Drosophila melanogaster: one gene and its partner. The protein of the gene in region 2 purifies or fractionates together with the protein of the main gene of each other region. This does not show direct contact. Each region holds a gene or a part of one and is shown on either strand. Other genes may lie near its edges.

What was found. The genes of interacting proteins can lie anywhere in the genome.
Region 1: the proteins of pippin (region 2) and CG12170 purify together in Drosophila melanogaster (affinity purification with mass spectrometry, with the first as the bait; one large-scale study listed by BioGRID). This does not show direct contact.

Annotation. Positions count from the first base shown.
Region 1 is NT_033777.3:5,634,337-5,640,432, forward strand, and holds CG12170 (uncharacterized protein), read left to right. Parts: upstream 1-2,897; 5' UTR 2,898-2,929; coding exon 2,930-4,246; 3' UTR 4,247-4,321; downstream 4,322-6,096. Other genes in the region: CG12171 (uncharacterized protein), read left to right, coding at 1-129; CG31546 (uncharacterized protein), read right to left, coding at 432-1,226; CG31548 (uncharacterized protein), read right to left, coding at 1,699-2,469; MTA1-like (metastasis associated 1-like), read right to left, coding at 6,093-6,096.
Region 2 is NT_033778.4:23,812,328-23,822,760, reverse strand, and holds the start of pippin (pippin), read left to right. Parts: upstream 1-4,433; 5' UTR 4,434-4,696; coding exon 4,697-4,710; intron 4,711-7,159; coding exon 7,160-7,319; intron 7,320-7,989; exon of another isoform or gene 7,990-8,026; coding exon 8,027-8,165; exon of another isoform or gene 8,166-8,227; coding exon 8,228-8,436; exon of another isoform or gene 8,437-8,869; intron 8,870-8,987; exon of another isoform or gene 8,988-9,093; intron 9,094-9,213; exon of another isoform or gene 9,214-9,255; coding exon 9,256-10,335; 3' UTR 10,336-10,433.

The DNA.
Region 1 (6,096 bases), on a different chromosome or scaffold from region 2:
CTGGGTCGACCCGGCGAAGTCAAGGAGGTGGCTGCGGCCATTGCATTCCTGGCCAGCGACGAGGCCAGCTTCAGCACCGGTATCAGCCTGCCCGTGGACGGCGGTCGCCATGCCATGTGCCCCAGATAAGAACGGAGTTTTTTATCCATGCATGCATTTATCTTATTTTTTTATTTTTAATTAAAGTAGCGCGCTTACCTCGTGTATTTCAAATACTTTTCAAGGATGTGATTCTATGTAAATGTAATAGTTTGCTAGAAATAAATAAAATGAAAACCGCCCTATAAAAATTGGCAACGTACGCAAGATTTAATTTGATACTTAAAATTTTCAAGTTCGTAGTAATGGACTTAATCGGCGGAAAACAAGGGAAAATTAAAGACATTCGTCTGGACAGGATCAGATGATCATATAGAATATCCTAGCAGAGACTAGCGCGGACACATGACCTGCTTGCCACCGTCCACAGGAAGGGTCACGCCGGTCACGAAGCTGGCCAGCTCGCTGGCCAGGAAGCAAATGGCGGCCGCCACCTCCTTTGGCTCCCCAATCCGGCCCAGGGCGTGGGTCTTCTTCGAGTGCTCCAGAAATTCGGCGTAGCTCTGCTCGTCCATGCCCCCCGCCTTTTGCAGATTGGTGCGAATCACACCCGGATTGACCGCATTCACCCGAACACCCTGGGGACCCAGATCCAGGGCAAGGGAGCGGGTAAACTGGTCCACCGCCGCCTTGGACATGTTGTAGGCCACCAGATTGGGAAAAGCGCGAAGTCCGCAGACGCTGGACACGTTGACAATGCTGCCCTTACACTGCAGCAACTGGGGCAGCAGCAACTTGGTCAGATAAAACCCAGAACGCACATTGGCCTCCATCACGTGGGTGAAGCAGGCCAGTTCCGTGCTCTGCAGCGTTCCCGTGGGCATGATGCCAGCCCCATTTACCAGCACATCCAGCTTGCCCTCGTAGCGCTCCGTGGTCTTCCGCGCAATGCATTCGATCTCCGGAGGCTTGAGCAGATCTCCGGCTATGCCGTACGGCTCGTGGCCCATCTTCATGCAGCGTTTCATCACACATATGAGGCCCTCCTCCTCCCGATCCACCAGGGCCAGGCAGGCACCCAGCTTCGAGAACATCTCCGCCGCGGCGGCCCCGATCCCGGAGGCTGCGCCCGTGATAAGCACCACTTTGCCGGAGAAGTCCAGACCAGCCTTGCCCTTGCTGCCCATCGAATCGAAATTTCAAATGAAAATCCAAACTACATTCGAATGTACGTACATGTGTAGATGACTTATCGAGGAAATATAACCCTGATCCCCAAGAACGTGATCTTAGTTCTTTTTACTAAATAAATAACAAAAATATAAGAGCAACTGATAGTTACTAACTAAAAAAAGAGTTTGGATTAAGAACCTCGACTTTGTCCAATAAAATCTCAATATTAAAAATTAACTGAGATAAAGAGATAAACTTTAACTAACCCTAGTTAGTGGATCACGTTCAAAAATATTGACTTTGATTGATTTTTGATAAACTACTCTAGTGCTGAACACAAAGATGACTAAATAAATGGCAATCAGTTTTATGTACACAATCAAAACAATAGGTAAATCAAAATAACAATTAAAAAAATCGGATTAAATGCATTTACTCATGGAAGAATCCATGCAGGGGAAACTAAAAGTTCCATGTCCTGTGGGATTAGCGTGGGCACATGGCATGGCGACCGCCGTCCACCGGCAGGCTGACTCCAGTGCTGAAGCTGGCCTCATCGCTGGCCAGGAAGGCAATGGCCGCAGCCACCTCCTTGACATCTCCAGGACGACCCAAGGCATGGGTGGTCTTGGAGTGTTCCAGGAACTTTTTGTACGTCTCCGCATCCATGCCGCCGCGGGCATGCAGATTGGTGACCGTCACGCCGGGATTCACGCAGTTCACGCGCACACCCTTGGCAGCCAGCTCCAACGCCACACAGCGGGTGAACTGATCCACTCCCATTTTGGATATGTTGTAGGCCAGAACGCCAGGGAAGGAGCGAATCCCATTGACACTGGACACGTTCACGATGTTGCCCTTGGTCTTGACCAGCTCGGGGGTGGCCAGCATAGTAAGGTGGTAGATTGCCCTCAGGTTGGTGTTCATGACGCGGTCGTACTGCTCCAGGCTAGTCGTCTCGATGGTGCCCGTCTCGATGATTCCGGCATTGTTGACCAGCACATCCAATTTGCCGTACTGCTGCAGGGTTTCCGACCAAATCCTCTGGGTGTCCGCCTCCTTGGCAATGTCGCCCACCACCAGGGCCGGCTGTGATTGGCTCACCTTGCTGCACTCAGCGGCTACCTTCTTCAGGTTCTCCACATTGCGTCCATTGAGAGCCAGACAGGCGCCGTACTTGGCAAACTTAATGGCGGTTGCAGCTCCGATTCCGGAGCTTGCTCCCGTAATAAGGACCACTTTGCCCGCGAAATTCATGATCCGATCCAGAATTATGTAAGGGGATCTCAAGCTCAGTGCGCATCTTGCTGGATTCAATAGGGGTATTCACCTGGTAGAAATCCGAAAATCTTACAGGAGAAAGGGTGTGCTTGGTTTTACGTTTAAAAAATCTGGTAAAATGATCAATTAAATTTAATTTGTGTTAAGGGAGCAACAATTATAAAAATCTATTGTTTTATTTAATTCAGCTTTTCAACGGTAAGCTCTATTAAAAAATGTATTATTAATGTTGAACTCCATATGTTCCTCTAGAATACTTCGAATACTAAAAATGTATTAGTCAACAAATTATTATATAAATTATTTATATATTGTATTAAATATTTTATTAAGTATTTTGGTATATTATAAAATGTTAAGTCTTAGTATATTTTCGAAGTGTGCTTGGTATTTTTTAACGGCTATCCGGTCTCACTTACGTGATCATGTAAACGAAATGCGAGTTTTAGGAAAGTGCACTGTTTTGGTCAGGCAAACCCGCAGCTTATCCACGCCATCTGGGCGCCGCAGAGTGGTGGTCACGGGAAGTGGCGCAGTCACTCCGCTGGGCAACAATGGACCGGATTCTTGGCGACGCATCCTGGCCGGCGAGTCGGCAATTTCTCGGCTGAGTGCGGAGTTTAAGGGCTTGCCCTGCCAGGTTGCGGCTCAAATCCCGAGGGAAAACCTACAGCTGGATCAACACCTGACCAAGTCGGACATTAAGCTGATGAGCCCCGCCACGCAGCTTGCCGTATTGGCGGCTGAGGAGGCCTTGTCAACCGGAAAGCTGTGCCCCAAGCAATTGAGCGAGGAGGAGCTTGAGCGGTTCGGAGTGTGCGTGGGCATGGGCATGTTCGACCTTGCAGAGGTCTATGGCGCCTGGAACCAGCTGCAACGAGGTTACAACAGAGTAAGCCCCTTTTTCGTGCCCAGGCTGCTGCCCAGTATGGCGTGTGGTCACATAAGCATGCGACATGGCTTAAGAGGACCTAACCACTCGGTGTCCACGGCCTGCGCCACAGGTGCCCATGCCCTGGGCGATGCCATGCGCTTCATTCGCAGCGGAGATGCCGACTTGATGCTGGCGGGGAGTGGTGAGGCCTGCATAGATCCGCTCTCCATCGCTGGATTTTGCAGACTGCGGGCTCTGAGCACCGCATTCAACGATAATCCGGCGGTTGCGTCCAGACCGTTTGACAAGTCCCGGGATGGCTTCGTGATGGGCGAGGGCGCAGCTGTGCTCTTGCTGGAAGAACTGGAGCACGCCCGCGCTCGGGGAGCTCCCATTCTAGCTGAGATTCTGGGCTACGGCTTGTCCGGCGATGCCTATCACATAACGTCGCCCAGCGATGACGGCGCCGGAGCCACTCTTGCCATGAAGCGGGCCATACAAGATGCTGGGATTGCACCAGAGGATGTTACGTATGTAAATGCCCACGCAACCTCCACGCCCACCGGGGATCGCATTGAGTCACACGCTATAGGTCGTGTTTTCGGGGCGCACACTCCGCAGGTGAGGGTCTCCTCCACCAAGGGAGCACATGGCCACCTGCTGGGCTCCTCTGGCAACCTGGAAGCGCTCTTTGTGGTGCTCGCCTGCGCGAATAACAAGCTGCCGCCCTCCATCAACATTGAGCACCTCGATGTGGACGTCAATGTGGTCACGAAAGCTACTGATTGGTCGGCGGACCAAAAGCGGCGTGTTGCCCTCAAGAATTCCTTCGGCTTTGGAGGAACCAATGCCTCCCTCTGCATTGCTAGCTACATTTAATAGTAGCGATAAGTTGTTAACTATTTTTTAGAGATCCACGTAAATAAAATCCTTGAATGTTTGCATATTTTTAGGAAAAATGTTTAGTTTTAAAATTTTATTTGGAAAACTTTTTCGGTTGCTTGTCTGGCCGTCACGTCGTCGTCTTCGTCAGTTTCTTGCTCTGTAAAAAGGATTATGCGTACTGTTCTTGACCAATGCGCCATGTATGTACTGTTATACTGTATATCTGTATATAATATATATATATAGGTATATAATTATGTATATAGCTCTGTTTGATTTGCTTCTGTTGCTTGTCTCTCTGTTAGTTTGTTTGTTATTGCGGTTTTTTTGCTGCTTGAAGTCGCCGCCCTCCGGTTGAACAGAATGGAGTTTGTGTTTTCTTGTGGAAAATGAAGGTTCAAATCAATGGCTGGTGACTGGTTTGGTTTGGTTTGGCTTTCGCGCGGGTTCTGCTGTGATCGTGGCCAAAATTTGACAATAGTTTCAGCTTGCGAACCGTTCGTTCTCGTATTTGACTTAACTAATCGTTTAATTTGAAGTGTTTTTATTTTACAAAATTGCTTAGGTCGTTAAGTTAAAGTATGTTGGCTTACAATCGAAACGTTTCATAATCATTTAATATTATTGGTTTTCTCTTTATGCTCTGCGTGCTTCTGCTGCATTCAGCTTGCCCTGCTGCTGCTCTTCTATCTCTAGAGTCTAGACGACATTCTTTGTTATCTCCGTGTAATCATACACAACGGATGTACATACTTATTATATGCGGCTTAGACTCGTACTAATTATATGCGTAAATAATAATATGCTATATGTGGGTTTGGGCTTGTGCTTGGGTGGGGGTTGTGGTGGTGGTGAGGGATGTGTGCAGGCGTGTGTGGGATAGCTCTTTGAATGACCGAACTTTCGTCGTTTGTTACATACATTATGAAAATACGCTTTATTCGAAATTTAACTTTTAAATTTTAGTTATTTACTGTACAGTTTGTTTGTAGTTGACGCTTCTTGATTTTAGTTACAGTTCAAATTATTGGGCTTTAATTACTTAATTTTGCACGCCACATTCATTAACAATGTTAAATTTCTCCACTCCCTAATTCAAATCGCTTAAACAATTTCAAATATCTTTCGGCTTACAATTCAAATCTGGACAGAAAAACATTTAAAACTTACGGAGGCCATTCAATTTCATAATTACGTATCTGGTTTTAGCTAGGTTTAGGAAATAAAGGAATAAAGTGGAACTTTAGAGCGCGATTTAAAAGTTCGACAGAACTCACACATTCACAAATGTATATTTAAAAAACCATTGCAAATGCGTTGTGTACTAAACGAATTAACGAACATTTGAGTTTCGTGCGTTGCAGCTGGCACCTTCGTAGGAAAGTGCAGCTTGCATTCGGTGTGTTGAGATTTTTTAAATTTAAAATATATATAAAATATTTATAAATATTTTGTTGTCTCGCGTTCTGTTACTGCTGCTACAGACCTTAACACTTACTATCTTACTATTTCTTGTTAAAAAGACATCTATTTAAGCGCTAATAAAGTGGTTTGTGGTTGCTATCGGGTATCGCGTTTTGTTGTCCTGTTCATACAGTGATGCTGTAACTACACTGATCCTGATCCTAAGTCGAATGCCTGTCCACACGTCTGTGTGCCTTATGCTGCGGGTGTATGTACATGGCAAGCCCGTCAGTCAAACCAGAGAGTGCTCCTAGTTGAGCAGTGCATCCATGGTGTATGGAAATGGAGGATGTTGCTGCTCGAACCTACTTGCTGAAGACGATAACAACTTGGTTGCCGATGCTGCTGATGCTGTTAATGTGCTCGCCGGCGACGGTCAG
Region 2 (10,433 bases):
GTTAAGCCCGCAGCTAGACAATGAGGTTTTCGTTTAAATAGTCCAATTACTCGTTGTGTATGACCCACATTTTCAGCTAAATCCCTATTTAGCTTGAGGTAAATTGAATTTTTAAAATAATCTATTAAAATGGCTATTGCTCTTCAAAGGCGGTCGCTGATAATCCATTACCTTGTCAATTTGCCACTTAAGCCCTCAACAAGTTCCTCGGTCGAGTAGTAGTCAACAGATACGCCACATTGCGTATACGCCGGGGTGACCCAGTCACAATAAACAGCCAAATCCCGCCATCCATCAGGATGTGGCTTTAAGTCTAATGCACTGGATACCACGATGTCACCGATCACTTTTCAGCCAGGTCGCTGATGTTTTCATTGTTATTTGATTGCGATTCAAATGTACACACAAAAGGGAAAGCGCTGCGAGCCCAGCGAATAAAATAACAAATGGCAATGGGAAAAAGGACAAAAAAAAGCCGAAAAACTGGAAAACCTGAACTTGAGCCCTGGCAAACACGCACAAAACACGGACAGGCCAATGCCAAAAGCCCAAACGCGAAGGAAACAACGCACGTTCATGCCGAACAGGAAGGAAGCCACAAGGCACACAGGAAAAGGAACAAAAAGCGTCAGCAGGGGGAGGGGCGGAAGGACCCTAGAAGAGGAGGAAAAGCCCGCTCCAAGGGCAAGGATGCTGAGGTAGCAGCCACAGCAATCACTATAACAAAAGGCACGGCAATCACAGGGCAGTTTCATTAAAAGTAACTAGGGTTCACTGCACGAAACTATTGATGCGATTAAGTGGAAGTAAAGTAAGTTATAATGGCATTTCCCAAAAAGTACACAGTATTTTCATAAATTAAACATTTTCCTAGGAGCAATTGTCTCATCTTAAAAGGGAATCTCTGATGTGTGTGATAGGATAGAATTTAGAGAATCCTTGTAAGATAAATTCCCAATATCCCACTTCTCGAAGTCCGACTGTACGACAATAAGAAGAACTCGACTTAGACATTCCAATAACAATGCCTCACAAGAGCTAAGAAAATGCCCACCAAGTGGATGGGGGCGAAAAAACTTGGGGAGCAGGAGCAAAAGGATAGCGAAAGTAGTAAAAAGTTATCGGGACTCGGGATGAAGGTGCCGCCAGGAGCAGGAGTCCGGCCCACTGCGGGTGGAGGCTGGAATTAATTTTGCGTTCATCCACGCTTGGCTGCTTGGCTGGAGCGGAAGGGACGCGGCTGGAGGCAGCACTCCTGGCCAACTTGCGGCAAATATTTGCCCAGTCCGAAGTATCCATTCGGCCCGGAATTGGATGCACCTGGTGCCCAGCCAAGCGGTTGCATGCGGAGGCGTAGGGAAGGGGGGCGGGGTTGCCTGGCATGTATATGCAAATTTATTGGACACGACTCTCAGATAATGCAAATTACGCTTCCAATCAGGTTTCAATTTCAGCTCACTGCCGCAGTGAATTCGTCGTAACTAACCAGATATTACAAGCCGTGCAGGATGCAGGAATCAAATGATGCATAGATTCAAAAGATGCACTTCAAGCCATGAATCCTTGAATGAGCGGGCCACAAGGCGAATGAATGATTGTTATATTACCTGACCTCCGCTAAATTCGTTGGGTATTTTCTTTGCTCTTATCGGGGGTTTTTGCTGAGCTGCACTCTTAATTACTTGAAACTTTGTTTGACTGTTGTCTTAAGTCGAGTTGAGTCCTGGTTTAAACGTTAAGTCCGGCCAAACTTTCGCCTTAGCCCAAGGTTTCACTTTCACTCGCAGTTTGCCCCGAAAAGTGTGCTACGAAAATGTTGCAGTTGCAACGACTTTTCATGGCCACTGCCACAGCGAATCCGGTGTCCAGCTGCTGGCTGTGGCAGGTGACAGAGTATCGGGATGGGCTGTAATCAGACTTCATTAACGCCGAATTAGCCGCACAATGCGGTTATCCTGGGCGCAGGACGTGGCTGCAACGGAACGCCGTCTAATTGGGCCTGTCAACGGACTCGTCCTGCGGGAAGGACCTTGGCGCGGGCTAGGGCTTTAATTGTTTTAAATATTTACTGGCAGGACTCGAAGGACACTCCCAGCAATACACACACACGCACAGCTCGCACAATCGCACACAAATACAATATATGGCATACACGCGGGACTTACACAATTAAGAGTTCGCTATAGGGTTTTCCCCTTCTTCAGCACTTCTCTTCACTTTTCAGCACTTTTTTCGAGGATCTTTTTCGGCAGGAACAGCAACGTTAGCGAATGGCACCAGCTATCTTGGTGGCTGCTCTTTTCGGACAGTTTCTGTGGGCTTGTTGTTGTTAAGCCTGCTCCCGTGGGTGGATCGAAAATTACGGACACGTGGAGCGTCCAATTTGGCGGACAATTCGAAAGCAACTGAAAGTGAAACGGAAGCAGCAGCAGCAGCAGCAGGAGATTTCCCGCTGAAAGGCGGAGGCGAGAAAAGTGAAAAGTGAAAAGCGAGAGCGAACGCTTTTCGCTTCGGGAGCGTGGAAAGCTCCGCCGCCGCAGCTTTTCCACCCACGCTCGCTTGCTATAAATGTTTATGGCAGCCGTTGGGCGCTGCTTTTGATTTGCAATTTGATTTACGGCCCAATGGAATGGAATGGGAAATCGGGATACTGGCGAAAAAAAGGGCAGTGGGGGTGGGGGTAATGCCATTGGGGTCACTGGGCAAAAAGTCGGCTCACATGGCGGATGGGGAATACAAGCGTTCGAAAATCAAGTATACGCCTAGGGGTACATCTGCTTATCTAGTTATTGGATAAATGCGACATCATAATGCTACATCGAAAATTGTTGTAAAAGCATGTAAATTCTACGAATTTTTCGCAGTGATTCTTTTGGTGGGCTGAGCAGTGAATATGTGTCCTTGAACAATAACTCACTTAATTATGCATTTGCATTTGGCTCTGTGTGTGAGTGTGGGAGTGCTGTCCAGTGTTCAGTCGCTGAACAATGGGCGATTGGCGATAAAAGTGTGAACTAAAATGCAGCTAAGGGGCTGACAAAATTCCAACTTGTTAAGTGAAACGTAAGAGCTTAAAAATTATGGTTGGCTTTCACTAGCCGCCCGCCCACTTTGCGAGCATCCCGCTCCAGCGGTCGATAGTTTGGCCCACCGAAGGGAGGGGAGGGCTCCAATCCCCAATAGAGACACACATCGAACAGTTGGCCAGGCGACCTTCAGGAGGAAAAGCTGCCCCGACCTAGACACTGAAACACTGGAGCATTGGAGCATTGGGGCCGAGAGAAAAATTGTGAAAACAGAGCGAGAGCGCTCTGGGTGATACATTTATTTACGCAAGTGTTCGAGCTTAGCGAACGGAAACGGAAGTGGGAGTGGAAATGGAAGTGAAAGCGGAGAGTGGGAGTGTGAGTGGGAGGGGGGGGGGTGGATTGGTAGATAGCACCGAACAACGTAAGCCGCTTACAAAAGCTCCCACATAAAAAAGAGGGAATAACAAAGTTTTAAACAGTCACATGGCGGATAGTTTCCACGCAATTTTCGCACCGTTTCCGCACCATCGGAGTTTTTTCTAATGTTATATACATATATATATATATCATCTGTAATTTCCTCGCTCCGCTTATCCTGTGCGCAATTCGCATTTCCCCGAATTTCCGCCAGCTTGTGAGCACCATTTGTGCCACCATTTGTTGATGCATCCCCACCATTCTTGTTGTTGGGCCAGGTTATGAATGAAAAGCTTTGTCAATTCAGCTTTCCTCGGACCCTCGGGTCATTTTCACGACGGCTTTCGCTTTCACAGCTCTCTTTTGTTGCTCTTTTCGATTCAGAACGAAAGGTTTTAAGCAGGGTGGTCACGAAGGGGTGGTTGTATTTATTTTTTTAAAACAAACAAGCCAAACAAAATGAACAGCGAGTAATGAGTGGCTATTTTTACACATCAAACATATCTTAAAGGCTCACATTTCTGTTTAAGGATCGAGATAGAAAGATTTGTTGCACATACTATTGAAATTTGATTTAGTTTTACATCAACATGTATCATTCAAATTCTAAATGGCCAGATTCTACAAATGTAGTCTACAGATCCGCACTTTGGTTCTAGTCTTGGCTAGTCGCGAGAAAAGTCACAAAAATTGGGCGAAAAAAGAGAAAAACAAAACTTTTCTTCAAATTTTATGCTTTACAACAAAAATATAAAAATATGCAGCAGTTTTGATTTTTTTTCAAAAATTCTAAATACTTTTTGAACGGATCGGTGCTGCAAAGCGCCGTTCCAAAGGCCAGTGCTGCAAGTCGGCTGAGTCGTAGCGCGGTGAAATTCAAATAAATGCGAAATTACTTTGCTTTGCGTGTGTGCGTGTTGCGGATCGCAGCGTCAGCGTCGATCGCTGCTCATAAATAAAAAGCCGCAGCGGAGCCGCTTTGCCAGCCAGTGTGCGTTTTGGCATGAAATGAAACTGTCGCTTTTCCGCGTGGCCCGCTTTTCTCGCAGTGTATCCCAGTGTTTTGCCGGAGATCGTTGATATATCTATATGACCACGCGATCGAGTGCTTTGATCAGACAAATTATATGAGGCAGGCGATTTAATTCGCGACTACTTTGGTTACATAAAGGGCAGCAGAGAGCGAAGGATTTGCATAAATTAATTCGGAAACAACTTGAACTAATTCGCCTACATTATAGCCGGACAAAATGAGTGTCGAAAGGTAATGGAACAGATCAAAACAATTGCCGTATTCGCGTATTTGTTGTGCTGCCAAGCACTGACATCGGGTGTCCAGTCATCGCTGCTTTCTGCGGACTTACTGTCTGGTCAGCTAAAAATACCCCCCTTCGAATACTTCGACTTTAAACCCCAGCCAGCGCAAACAAGTTTTCGGTTTCCTTCGGTCGGTCGGTCGGTTGGTCGGTCGGACTGTGTGCATTCGTGTTGCTAGGGTCCGTGATCTTTGCCAAAGGTTCTGAAGTGGCCCAGATGCGAGATAAGGAGGACCACCTTTTTCTGCCCCTTCGATAGGTGCGGTTCGGTGCCAGCTAAGTGTCGAGTTCCCAATAAAGATATGTTCCTCTGAATCTTATCACTACATTACTAACTGCCAGCCAAAAACGTCTTCGTCGATGGGTCTTGTGGCCAAAATGCCCGATGATCGACGAAATGGTCCCAGAGCAAAGGAAAGATTTCACTTACCTCACCGAAGATAGTAAATAATATTAGTTTCTAATGTGGGAACGGCTGATTAGATACGTGGGTATTTACCAGACGAAAAAAAAAAACACGTGTTAATTGAAAACAAAAGTACATTTTCCGGCTCAGCTAAGCTGAAATTTATAGAACCGATGTGCATTGTTTTGAAATGTGCTCAGACTTTATTGCCACCTTATCACGATGTCTCACGATGATTCGAAGTATTTCTACAACGATAAGCACATCAATCAATGGCAAAATGACGTTACATTATTGAATTAAAAGTGAATTGAGCCGCGCAGGTTCTTTAAGTCCTGCCGCATGGAATTTACATTCAATATATTGATTGATTCGAAATTACTCATCGTAATTGTCGTACTGATGAAATTTCACTTCTGGAACTTGCCTAATTGGATTGGTTAACCCCCCATTAATTGGTGATAAGCCCACCGCCTTCGGTTTGAATTACTGCTAACCGAGATTCCTCGGCTCTGTGCCACCAAATATGTATATCTTATCTTGAACTTTGCCATCTGGCGTGCCAATTAAATTCAGTTTAGTTATTACGCATACGCCGCATAGACCGGAACCACCATGCCAACCGGTGGTGGTGAAATGAATCCCCGATTGACTGGCATGGCGCCACCAGCTGACTGGCCTCACCCCTTCCGCCCCAAGATCCCCCAATATTGCCCCAATTAAGCCAAATCATTTGCGCGCTGCCCATTCGATTGGCTGCCCAATGATTGTCTTACTCGAGTTGTGTGTGCCGATGTGGTATAAATTATCTAATTTGTGGTGTCAACAGTGGGTGAGCATTTCGGTTTGTAGAATCCGCCGAGTCGTGCAGGCGACTCTTCCAATTCACACATTGCCATATTGATGGGCAAATATAGTGACATGGACTTCAGTCACGCCGATTGAAAGTGATTGGAAAGTTTGCCAGGCAGTTTAGGGATCATAATGGGCCTATTAAAGTCATGAGCTAGGATTTGCTTGAATCGGTTGGAGTTTTTGGTGGGAGTGTGTCAAAAACCCATTTGTTTTGGTACATTGAACCGCTGACATTATCTTCGGCACTTCCTTAATCAATCGCAGACGATTTTACCGGCGATATGGCCGTTTTATATGGCTCAAGTCCAACGATTTGAAATGTTTTGGTTTTGCCAAAGTTCGCTTTACTTTATTTGCACATTCCCATCACGACTGGCAGACTTATGGAGCCTCCAATGCCACGGTTGAGTTTTAGGTGCCCAAGGGGAAGTATTCCGTACTCTGGGCCTATTGATATCAAAATATTGTATTGAGTTGCACCATATTTATCACCCTTGATTGGACAAACTATGCCACAAAAATATTTATATCGACTAAAGAGGAAGAAAGTTTGATTCGGTTCATTAAACGTGATTCCGTATTGACCTTGGCGGGCGATAAAAAAAAAAACAACACATTAACATTATTTAAGCAGTTGAAACACAAGCAAAACAAAGGCATTCGGCAAATGAGCGAGAGCGCGAAACGCTCAAAAATCGCCGTTTTGTTTTTGTTTTTACCATGTTTTCTTATCGCGCAGCCAAAACAAACTCAAACTCAGCTGGTTTCTGCTTCCAAAAGTGACGTATTCCTGCCCTTCTTATCACCGAAGGCTTCTCTCCAAGTGCCAGTGGCTCGCATTAAAGTGCACCTAAATGTGGTAGGAGCCGCAAATGGGCAATGGGGAATGGGAGGAATGCAAGTGGATTAATTTGAGTGGCGTGTGAAAGGGTTGCCCGCTCTGCCGATCCATGAAATTGCCAATAATTGTGGGTCATTAAGCCCATTAGGCGGACAAAGTGTTGGAGCACCTTGATAATAGGCCAGCCCCTACTATATGCTACCCTGTATCTGAGGTTCACAGCGATGGGGTTGCCTAGTTTTTTTTCGGTTTTCTATGCGATATTTCATTTTCTTTTCTAATCTTCCTCAACTAGAGATGACGAGTATCTAAAATTTGTGCCCCACACGATGTCGTATCAAGTCGTCCCGGGATCGGAGTTCCAGTGCAAGAAGGCCAGCTATAGCTCCAGGAAGCTCTCCACCATCGACGAGCAGGACGACGATGCTGCCAACCGAAGGGGAATGATGCACCAGGTGGGTTTAGAAGCTATAGATTCATAAACTAAGGCAACTTTGTTCTATCAAATCTTTTCGAGAACTGAAGAGAACTTTTTAGTGGGGCATACCAACCCAACTCAACCCAACGCAACCCAACCCAACCCATATAAATCCAAATCAAGGCAGGGCCTATAATCTTGTCAGCAACTTGTCGAACATCGGACATCTCTGGGACTTCGCCTCCTCATGCGTGACAGATAGTAAATATTCCGTGAAGGACAAAATGATAAGATACGCAATTGAACTTTCTTCACGACACGATTAGAAAACGGTTCCGTTGGGGGGCAACATGTGGCGGACATGTGACGGAGGTGCTGGAATTGGACAAACCGAACGGGCACGAAGTGTCATTCAAAGTCAGGGTGTCCGTGTCAGTGTCCGTGTCCGTGTCCAGTTTGCTGGCGTCACAAATTGATCGGGCATATGCCCAATCACTGATCAATGGGCAGCGATCCCGGATCGTTTGTCACCATCAGCGCAAATCAAAATAATGTTGTCCGTGATGCAATTGCAACTTCAATTGATGCCAATTGCTGCTGGGATGGGGCAACTATGATGAAGTGATCGTTAGATTCGATTAAAGCTAGATGGCACATGGAAACAGGAATACATTACATAGTTGCTTGCACACAAATCAATTATATATCCAATTGTATATCGAATTTTATTATGTTCCCTTCTAGATTCTGGCCACCTGTGCTGTACTCTTACTTTCCGCTGGATGCGGCATGCCCATTGGATTCTCGGCCATCCTGTTGCCCCAGCTGATGGATAACAACTCCACGGAGATACCCATTGATGTAGAGACGGGCTCCTGGATAGGTGCGTTCAAACAGGTGATATCAAGCTCAAAACACCTTATTAATTCCTGCTCATTCCCACAGCAAGTGTCCATAGCCTGGCCACACCATTTGGATCCCTGCTGTCGGGACCTCTGGCGGACTATTTGGGTCGCCGTAGGACCCTGATTCTCTCTGTGATTCCCCTCCTCCTGGGATGGAGCACCTTGGCGATCGCCAAGAGCATCAAGGTGGTGATCTTTGCACGCTTCCTGTGCGGATTCGCCACCGGAATTCTGGGTGGACCCGGACAGGTGAGTAACTCAATGCCACTGGCCAGGGGTTCGTTCACACGGATCACCCGAAACACCCGGACAACGCGGAACCGGATTGTTCGAGTGACCCATTAACCGTAATCGGCGGAGCCTTGAACTCCCCCAAATGGCGCTGCCCCACTGGGAATACAAAAGAGCAGTCGTGGCAGGTGGACAGATTGTCAATTGGCCACTTAACGCTGCGTATTCCATTGTCCCGGCTCCTCTGGTCGCCTCCATTGTCTCCAGCGTCTCAGCCGGCGCTGTTTATTTACGAGCATCTTATGGATATGTCCGTGACTTATCTTGCGGCCAAAGTGATAACGATATTTATCATCGTCGGCGGCGTCATCGCTGCCGGGACTTTAAATGGCCAGCGCATCATTTGCATTAGGCGCACACAGTATACGCGTAGTAGTTCCGGATTCTTGACCTTAGTCTATAATAACGTGGATGCGGACGGGTGGGCGATTTGCTCGGATTTGGATGAATGGGCGCGTGTTCCCCCGGCTTTCGCTTCGCTTTCAATGGTTAATGGTTTGCCGCCTGACGTGATTTACGATTTTATGATTGCCGTCCAAGAGTTCCCACAGATTAAGATGTTGATGTTGCTTCCGTGACCCTCGAATAGATCAAATTGTTTTGCTGGCGAAAGTTCTAGCTGGGTTCAAGGTGGTCATGTATCAGAAAGTAATAGTAATAGTATCATTTATATAATTGATGGTCAACGTGGATAAGCTGGATTAGGATTAATGTAGACTTACTATATAAACTTACTATTTTGGCCTTCATTCATTATTTTATTTTACCTTCTCGAAGGTGTACATTGCGGAAACGGCGGAACCCAATCTGCGGAGTCTGCTGATCGGCGCGCCCTATGTGGCCTACTCAAGCGGCATCCTAATGGTCTACTCCCTGGGCTCCATGATGTACTGGCGTAGTGTTGCGTGGTGCGCCAACGTGCTGCCCCTGCTGTCCATGGTGTCTATCTCGTTTATACCGGAGACTCCGGCCTGGCTACTCCGCAATGGCCACGAGAAGCGTGCGCTGCAGGCCCTCTCGTTCCTGCGGGGCAGCGAGATCAGTGCGCAGAAGGAGCTGAATGATATGAAGCAGAGGCTGGCCAAGGAGCGGGTGACCACCAAGACGAACGAGAACATCTTCCAGCTGTGCTGCCAGCGCGTGGCCATCAAGCCGCTGGTCATTGTGATCGTGTTCTCGCTGCTGCAGATGTTCTCCGGCACGTTCATCGTGATCTTCTATGCCGTGGACATGATCTCGGAGTTCGGAGCGGAGTTCGACTCCAAGCAGGCGGCCATTGCGACGGCAGTTGTCCGGGTGATCTGCTGCATGGTCTTCTGCGTAGTCCTGATCTTCGTTCGCCGCCGCAGGATCATGATAGTGTCGGGAATCGGCTCCGGCTTGTTCTGCCTGGTGCTCAGTGTCTATCAGTATGCCAGATTCGATCAACCGAAAATGTCGTACGACGTATTCGTTGGTGCCGGCTGTCTCTTGGGCTACATCATCTTCAACACGGCTCTGATGGTGATGCCCGGCATTATGATCGGCGAGCTCTTCCCGGCTAGGATACGCGGACGGACTGCCGGCGGAGTGTTTGCCTCCATGAACGTCGCTCTGTTCATCTTCGCGAAGAAGTTTCCCGCTTTGCAGGCCATGCTCAAGATGCGCGGCGTGTTCCTGGTCTTCGGCGTGTCCAGTTTCCTGCTCACTGCCTTTATGTGCCTTTTCCAGCCGGAGACGAAGGGCCGCAGCCTGGAGCACATCGAGGACTATTTCAACGGGGACAACTGGCTCTGGTTCCGGCGGGATCGAGGCTACAAGACGGTCAACCTGCAGCCCCTGGAGCCATTGAAGGACACCCGGGGGCTGGAGGCCTAGGTCGGGGGGCTTTAGTCTTAAAACAGGTCTTAGCTTAGCTAGTTTTAGCCATACTCATAGTTCTAGCCGCAGTGCCTCGTAGTCGCCCTAGACTCGCT